2 linked regions of the Schizosaccharomyces pombe genome follow. Changing the gene in region 2 together with the main gene of any one other region gives a genetic interaction. Each region holds a gene or a part of one and is shown on either strand. Other genes may lie near its edges.

Region 1 (3,855 bases), 870 kb from region 2:
CACGGGTTCCTTCTTTGAAGAGTCTTTCGATTTCGACTTTAGGGCATCTGAGGTTTCCAATTTTTGGGATTTTTTAGAGGGAGTTTCTCGATTAACCAAAGTATCCTTCTTAGTGTTCTTTTGTTTCTGCCTCTGTTTCTGTTTACCCAACTTAGTAAGCTTAGACTTTTGAGGTTTGGTAGCTAATTTTTTATCACTTGAGACTAAAAAATAGTACGCAACGTAAACAGTAGCTATAAGAAATGCCCATCTAAAGAAAGCCTCCTCATAACCCATTCTTTATCTCAATGTGGAATAGTGTAAGTAGAGCAACCAAATGGCAGTCCAAGCAAGCGCCATAATGTATCAGGGAATGCACAATGCTACTTAACGATCCTTGATATATAGCACTATATGTTAAAAAATGTAAACAATAAGAAAATGTGATTTCAATAACAAAAGGTAATTATATTGTTTAACATTGAACACATTTGACAAAAAAAACTAATGTACTTGATCACACTACTAATGCTATTCTAAATTCGCTAAAGACTTGTCGCCAATAAAATTAATACACCAACGTATTCGCTTAAAAAGTATAATTAAAAAAAAAAATTGTTAAAATTTATTTATCATTATAGTAACTCTGATTTTTACTTTTTTAACAAAACCACCAATAATGATTTTTGAAGCTTACTAGTACCTTAAATATTTTGTTCTATTAGGGGTGTGTTAGTAGTTTTGAGCAGAATTGAAATTCGAAATATCAATATATTTATAATTATGTAGGTGTTTTTTTACAAATATAAAAAAGAATTAAAAATAACTTATGACTTTTTAGAAAATATTCCGGTTAATTATTTTTTTGAAGATTAAACACAATCGTAAGTGCTCCAACTAACTTTTACATGGAAATAATTAAATCGACTTTCTTGAGCTAGTGCCTACAATCCTTTAACAACATGCTTTCAAAGCCCTGGTGCACTGTTTAACAGTTTCACATTTTAAGGTATGTTAAATCGTTCAATTGAGAATAGAAATTTGCCTTCAAAATTCTGTACTTAGTGAAAGAAGATGCACTTGTTTACAATAAATAAATATTTAAAAAAATAAAAAGCAATCTTCCAGTTCTCAAAGAGGAATATAAGTGTCTTTGAATTGCGTTCTTTATTATTAATAAATTGGCTTTCGTTTAAGAAATCGAAGCAGCAAATTATTACGTTAAAAGTCAGTCAAAATTTGTCGTGCATATTTGTTAAAAATTCAAAAACTCTTTTGTTCTCCTTTTGAAGAATGTTTATCAAATGTTTATTTTTCTCGTTTTCCTCTAATATTGCATCCAATTCATCAATTGAAACATATTTACGTTCATGCAACAGATTACGAATAAAAAGCAGCTGATTTTGAATTTTTGCATCAAGAAGGATAGCATTCAGTTCACATACTTCAAACGGGTTCGAGTTAGGACGTTCGTATAAAGGACTTAACATCTCTACCAGTGAATTCAAGGTACCACTTAAACATGTCAAAAGTGTTCCGTTACTTTTTTTCAATTCGTTATTTAATCCTTTTAACAATTGAAATTCATCGTTATTCACCCTACTGTTAAGGAAATTGGAATTTTCATCATTCTGTTGCAAAAATGAAGCGGTCTCAGGTAGTATGGGGGCATTTGTGTTTTGCTTAATAGGCTCTTTAACGATTAACATACTATTTAGGTTTCTTCCTTTTCGAGCTTTCACTAGTCCATAGTTACCTTTCAAAGTCTCCATTTGTTGCTCATGCTGGCGTAATGAAACAGATAATTGATTCTTTAATGCCTTCAAAGTCAATTCATTTTTAGCATTTACATCTTTCAAACCTTTATTTTGTGTAATTAATTCAGCTTGATCTCTTTCCAGTGTTCTAACTTTATTCAGTTGCAATTGACATTCGTTTTGATAAAGCTCCAACTCATTTTTGAGCCGTTTTATTGTATTGTTATCTCTTTGCTTTTCATATTCATTATTTTTAATAGCATCAAGAAGAGATTCCTTTTCTAAACGTTCTTCGTCAGTTGCTCTTAATAAACGATATATGATGTTCACTATGTTGCAATTATCACGAATGTCATGAGAAAGGCGTAACTTTTCAGCTTGTATTACTCCTTTGGAAAATAAAGATTTGTTAATATACAAAAGGCTTTCTTCTATATTGCTGGGGTTGCAAAAAACAATGGGGGTGGTCATCTTCCAATGTTTACACTTATTAATGCGGTGGTGAAGAAATAATGTAGAACATCCTTATAAAAATCATCTATTGCATAGAACTTAAAACAGATTGATTATTAACTACAAAGAATCTAATATTATTTTTAATTCATAAACATTAAAAAAAAAAAAAAGTAAGCCGGAAAGCCAAAGAGGTATAAATACCGATTTTCCCAACATTTCTAAATTGTATGCACTAATAAGCCATAACAGCTGACCAATAATCCACAGAGACAGACAAATAAGTCCCTTCTTACTTAAAAGCTTAGAGTTTGGTAAAACCAGAGGTAGAAATACTAGATACCACATAAAATACTAAGTTGTTAGTATAATCCGTCATTCTTCTAATTTCAAACTTAACATACCTGACTGGTACAAACCTTATTAAAGGTTACAAATGCAAATGTTTGGGCAAATAGAGTCCCAGGTAAATTCTTTTTTCCAAAGACCAAGGGTATTAGCATGCACAAACTTAACTGCGGCAGAAATGCAAATAAAGAAGACGCTTTTGCTCCGAAAGATGATTCATAGTATAAGTTTAAATGATGTAGAGAGAAATTATGTCGATGATCTGTTCTACCAAAGTGGTAAAGATATGTATGTTCAAGGAATGGAGACCCGTAAAGGTAATACATCAATAAATTACATATCGTAAACATAAACAAAGAACCAACAACAATCTTTAACTGATTAATCGATAATAAAGATAGAAATTTTTCCATGAAAGTGGACCCTTTTTTTGGTTTTGAAAAATATACTAAGAAAGCAATCCCATACATAAATGGGTAAATTTTAAAATGCACAGAAAACCCAAGTATTAGGCTAGCTAGCCAAACTGATTTTTTTTCGATCAAATACAACAAAGCAATGCTCAATATACCAAGAATGGCTTCACAATTCCCTCGAGTACTGATTATGGCGACGAATGGGTTCAATATCCAGAAGGAAGAGTAAATTAACGACCTTTTGTAAGATATCCTCCTAGATAAGAGCTTAATCATAAGCCACCCAGCAATTAAGTCTGATATTGAAAACAAATATTTACCCCACGACGGAAATCCGTATTGAGTAGGAAGAAGCAAAATTGCCAACATTGGAGTATAGCGATATGTGTCACGCATATACGGTGACATTCCTATGGAGACATATTTTGATGCGTCCGAAAACACGAAATAATCGATGTCCGTAAATTTAAGGGCAGATCGTCTATCATGCCAAATACCATAATTCAACAATACAAGTCTCATCAATAGACCCAATAAAAGTAAAAGAAATGCATCAGTAGGCGCATATAGGAGATATAAACTACTTTCACGTAATTTGGTAATCATATTTTCACGACTATTGTACTTTGACAGTAATTTCATAGCTTTTGCATAATGGATAAGAGCTTCACGAGCACTTGTATTGAATAGACTGCAAACTTTCACATCCAAATCAATGAGATATTTTTCATCCTGGGTTAAACGATATTGCAAGCAAGATTGAATAAAGCACTGAATTCGCAAATATTCTTTATCTGAGACACTAGTGTTTGTCCATTCAAGCAAAGAATTGGTAACTCCAGCAGCTAGTAAAGAATATGCCTTTTCATAATTTTGAAAGTTGTATGATTGAATACCTTTGA
Region 2 (4,709 bases):
AAAGAAACTGCCCGTATGGAGGCTGAGATCTTTGAGCTCGAACAGCGAGTTGCTTTAGCTAAAGAAGCTAAATCAGTGTTGGATAGCTGGGTTCATCACGAAGCCAACGTTCGCGCTGAACAACAGGAACGTCTCGTTGAAGATGTCTTGGCTCGTGTCAACAGCAAAGTTTCTACCCAAAAGTTCCAACAGGATGCTCTCAATGAAAGTCTCGGTGAAATCGAAAAGGTCTTAGCTAGTGCCTAAATTGTTTTTTCGAGGGACATAATACGATAAGACAGCTGCAGTTTTTTTCAGTCATATTTGATTTGCATATATGCTTATTAGCAAAAATTTGCGTCATTATTGGTTTTCAAATTGCATTCACCGATTAGTCGAAGTCATTTGAACCTAACAGTGTATATCGTCCCCGCTGCTTTCTTTTATTTTTATTTTCTTTGATCCTAAACCCCCTTCTCTATTTTGCCTAGTTGCAGCTCTTACGAATATAAACATTTTTAGTGATATCATGCTATTTACCTGTACCGCTCTGTTTTAGTAGTACACTCATTTTTTTCGTAAACATATTATTTAACCGTAGTTTTTAATCCTAATAGAAATACTTAGCTTCACAAATAGCTAAATTGAATTAAAAATAGAGGGTAAAAAAAAGAAATACAAACCCAACAAAAGCACCAGTAATGGAAAACAGAATTTGTCTAAGTGAAACATGTAAATAATGTGCGCTTCGATTAGAACAAAAAAAATTTTTTTAAAATTAATTTAAACGTTACATAGCCATATCTTGAGAATCAAATTTAAATTCTCCTTGAGCTTGAGGGCCATTGCCAAATGTGAAGGCGCCATTTTCGGTTTCAGGTGCCAAATCTTCAACTGCGTCCTCGTCACTGAAATACTTTTCAATGATGCTATACGCTTTCAAATAAATATCGTTATTTCCGGAGGATTGCAAATCATGGATCATATCCATACCGCCAGCTTCCTCAACGTAGACAGCGTATTGATTAATGTTTTCAAGATCCATAGTTCTGTCCATCTCACCAACTTTAAGTATGTTTTCAATGGCATCGAGAGCAACTTGAATAATTTTATTATCGGATCCGTTCAACATATCGCAAAGTGGCTTAATAACGCCTTGTGACACAAGGTAACGAATTTGGTCAGGCTGACCGAGACCGCCAGAAGTAGCATTAGAAATAGCCCAACAGGCTTCTTTTTTTGTTTTGTAGTCGGCATATGAGAGTAAATGGACCAATGGAGGTATAAGATTACTTTCAATAATTGCTTGGATTTGTTGGGTATTGCCAGCAGTAATATTGCTAATAGTCCAACAAGCTTCCTTACGAATGTTCTCTTTTTGATGACTGAGAAGACTAGGGAATGCATTGAGAGCACCGCAATCGATTATGATCTGTGTTTGCGCGTCAGTACCTGTTACTATATTCCCCACAGAGCGAAGGGCAGGAGTTTGAATATTAACGCTGGGAGAGCTCAAAAGTTCAACAAGCCTGGGCGCACATCCAACGTCTAAAATGGCGCCAATTTTTTCGTTAGGTCCATCAGAAAGATAGGAGATGGCCCAGCACGCGTCAACAATAATCTCAACGTCTTCAGAATAAAGGAGCTTAGCAAGGATTGGAACGGCTACAGAAATAGTTGACCAGTTAGGTGGTGGATTTTTGCCTCTACACAAGTTAGAAAGTGTCCATGTAGCGTTACGGAGCATAGAAACATCAGAAGCGCTACTCTGAAGAATATTAAGTAAAGGCTGTAAAACTCCGTTACCGAGTACATAGTCACGGCAGGCAGAAGAATCGCCAGCTATGTTACCGAGGGCCCATACAACCTGCTCACGGACATCTTTTTCAGGTGAAGAAAGTAATTGAATAAAACGAGGAACAGCGCCGGAATCAACAACAATACGGGTTTGATCTGTGGTACCACTAGCGATATTTGTTAAGGCCCAAGCCGCTTCAAATTGAAGCAAGTGATGTTCACTTTCTAAAAATTGTACGAACCGGTCAACAACACCACAAGCAATTACCTGATCAATAGGGGGATGCGTCTCCTTAGAAAGATATTTCCTGAATTTCGTGACGGCACCTAATTGTAGCTCAATGTCGTCTGACATCACATCAGCTGTCAATTTAGGAAATTCATCTTTCATTTGTTGCTCCATTTGAACCTGAGACTGATCAGCCTCCTCTTCCACATCAATGTCATTTTGTAAAACAGCGTTTAAATTCCTTCGTTTATTCAAACTTTCCTCACGTTTTTGTTTGCGGATTTCAATTTGCTGTTCTTCACGTTGCCGACGAAGTTCATCAGCTTTGAAAACACCTTTGCTTTTAAAACGGCTTCTTCTATCTGATAAATATCTCGATTCCATTTCTATAGGAATAAACTTTTTTGATATCCTTTTTACTCTTTTTTTTTTAGTTATCTAAGACAGTTGTGGTTGCTGCGAGTTTAATGAGAATAAGGAGGTAAAAGAGCACTTGTGTCGTTCCAAGAAGCAGCCGGCACCCAGGTAACAATGTTCAAAAATAATAAATTTAGAATAATTTGAAATATATCATTTTCCGGTTCAAATCGTTGAAACTTTCTAGATCATTTTTGTTCTGTCATTGGAAACCTTCGCACCATAAAACGGGTAAAACAACATGCTTATTGAGCTCATCAACCAATTTTTCTTGGGTTTTTAACAAGCTGAATGCTATAACAAGAATTCAAAATTTAAAAACAAATGGAATTTTTCTTTAAACAACCTGTCAAGTTGGCCTATTTTTATTTTTATTTTGATTATATAATACATATAGTTGAGCAATTTAATCTTTGAATAAATACTTATTTTTCAAACACTTCCGTATCTGTTTTGTAAGCTATTAATATGTATACATTAATGGTCCATTGTCTAACTAGAATTTATTTGGTAGCTATTATTAATATATATATTTTTTATTTTTTTTGTGATAATAAAGATTAATTCGGTATTTATATAAATTTAGGAATTAACTTAACGGCGCTTGAAAACATATTATCGTCATTCAGTTAAAATGCTCTAAATCATATACACTATAGGAAGTAATCTAATTATATAACATTAACTTTATTAATTCACAAAGTAATTATGAAGACCATATAAACGAAGCTGATAAATCTCTATATCCTTGTTTTTTCCATACATTATTTCTTTCCTTCAGTTGTATGCATCATTTATTTATACTAAAAATTATTAATAGATTGACTATTTAAAACCAGAAACGAAGGAAACAGAAGAGATAAATAAAGAAAGAAAACCAACGATTTCATAAGAGCCAATGAAAACAATATTGCTGTTATAAGCAACCGAAAATATATTTAACATCTGACACATATCCAGTAAAATTATAAGAAACATTTTCTTGCATATTATTAAACCCAAATCCCAAATGACCAGAACGAAGTCTAGTGATTCAAAGCTTATGACTTTGACAAACCTTTGAATGCAACTTCATCCATTTCTTTTTTTACTTTCTTATATAATTCCATCGTTGCTTGGGCATCCTGGACGGAAGAATGCTGTCCAGATTGAATGTCACGCCCAAGAATCACTTCAGCAAGTTTTTTAAGCCCTGGTGTCCTTCCCTTGGCTAATTTCCGATACCCAGAAAATCTGCTGGTATCACGAATCATTCTTCTTGGATGCGATAAAAGTAGTACTTTGAGATCGTTATGGACAGCATGTCCAACCAATACTCGATTGTCGAGTATCTTAGCAACTTCTGCTTGTACTTTTTCAAATGAAGGTGCATCCCGCATGTGAAATGACTTGACACCACTGACCCATGTTCTCCAATCCGTAACCTTTTCTTTAGGACGGACATAAGTATCATACACGACATGACCATGATAATTAACTATACTGACGCGTGCAAGAACTGACATGTCATCTGCCACCCCAACCATTTCACAATCCATTGCAATATATTTCCCCAATGTTTCCAAATTGGTTTTTCTGGTAAGCTTGGAAGCATCCACGCCATATGCGTCAAGGACTTGAGATTCAGGGATATCATTTTCCTTAGCAAATTTCTTTAATTCATTCATGCGTTTTTTATCGACGATATAAGAATTCTCATTCTCATTGTTTTTACCTTTCACACTTTTAAGGTATTTCTTTTCATTAGAATGCTTTTTTTCAACCCGTCCACTCTTAGCGCTGTCGAGTTTCTAAACAACCAATACCGTTAGTATACTTAAACAAGAATCTTAAATGACTTAATGGAAACTATAGCCTTTCATACCTTCTTTAACTTTTCCCAATTGGAAGAAGACATTGCTTGTGCATAAGAGCCAAAGTTGGTGCAAGAAGCAATTTGCAACCTCTTTCAATATGATTCTCAACGCGGTATCACAAATATTTTATCACATTTTAGCACATTTCATTATTTTGAATAAAGCGTTGATGATAGTACGTTACGTTAAGTATCATTATATAAGTCACATGCCTTGTATTTATTTATCTATAGTATATATACATATATTGACAGTGATGCACCATTTGTTGCTTCTTGATGTAACTACTGCCAAATATACGAGACTATGAAATAAATTAACCTCCGTTCTTCGGGTCACCAATGAGCTATTTCAGTGTGTACCCACTTCGTAAGAATATTATAAGGTACCGGTGGTTAATGCATTTCCTAATAAAAGAATATTGTGAATAT

Evidence for each region.
Region 1: mutations in imp1 (region 2) and msd1 together harm fitness more than expected from each alone (negative genetic interaction), as found in Schizosaccharomyces pombe (one large-scale study listed by BioGRID).

The regions. Positions count from the first base shown.
Region 1 is NC_003423.3:3,048,932-3,052,786, reverse strand, and holds msd1 (microtubule-anchoring factor Msd1), read right to left. Parts: upstream 2,237-3,855; 5' UTR 2,208-2,236; coding exon 1,212-2,207; 3' UTR 828-1,211; downstream 1-827. Other genes in the region: SPOM_SPBC13E7.07 (uncharacterized protein), read right to left, coding at 1-276; gpi14 (pig-M family mannosyltransferase), read right to left, coding at 2,310-2,543, 2,594-3,855. UniProt on the Schizosaccharomyces pombe protein: Has a role in meiosis.
Region 2 is NC_003423.3:3,914,306-3,919,014, reverse strand, and holds imp1 (importin alpha family nuclear import signal receptor adaptor Imp1), read right to left. Parts: upstream 2,461-4,709; 5' UTR 2,390-2,460; coding exon 770-2,389; 3' UTR 501-769; downstream 1-500. Other genes in the region: F0-ATPase subunit atp4, read left to right, coding at 1-246; exoribonuclease Rex4, read right to left, coding at 3,463-4,212, 4,287-4,319. UniProt on the Schizosaccharomyces pombe protein: Functions as a component of the nuclear pore complex (NPC).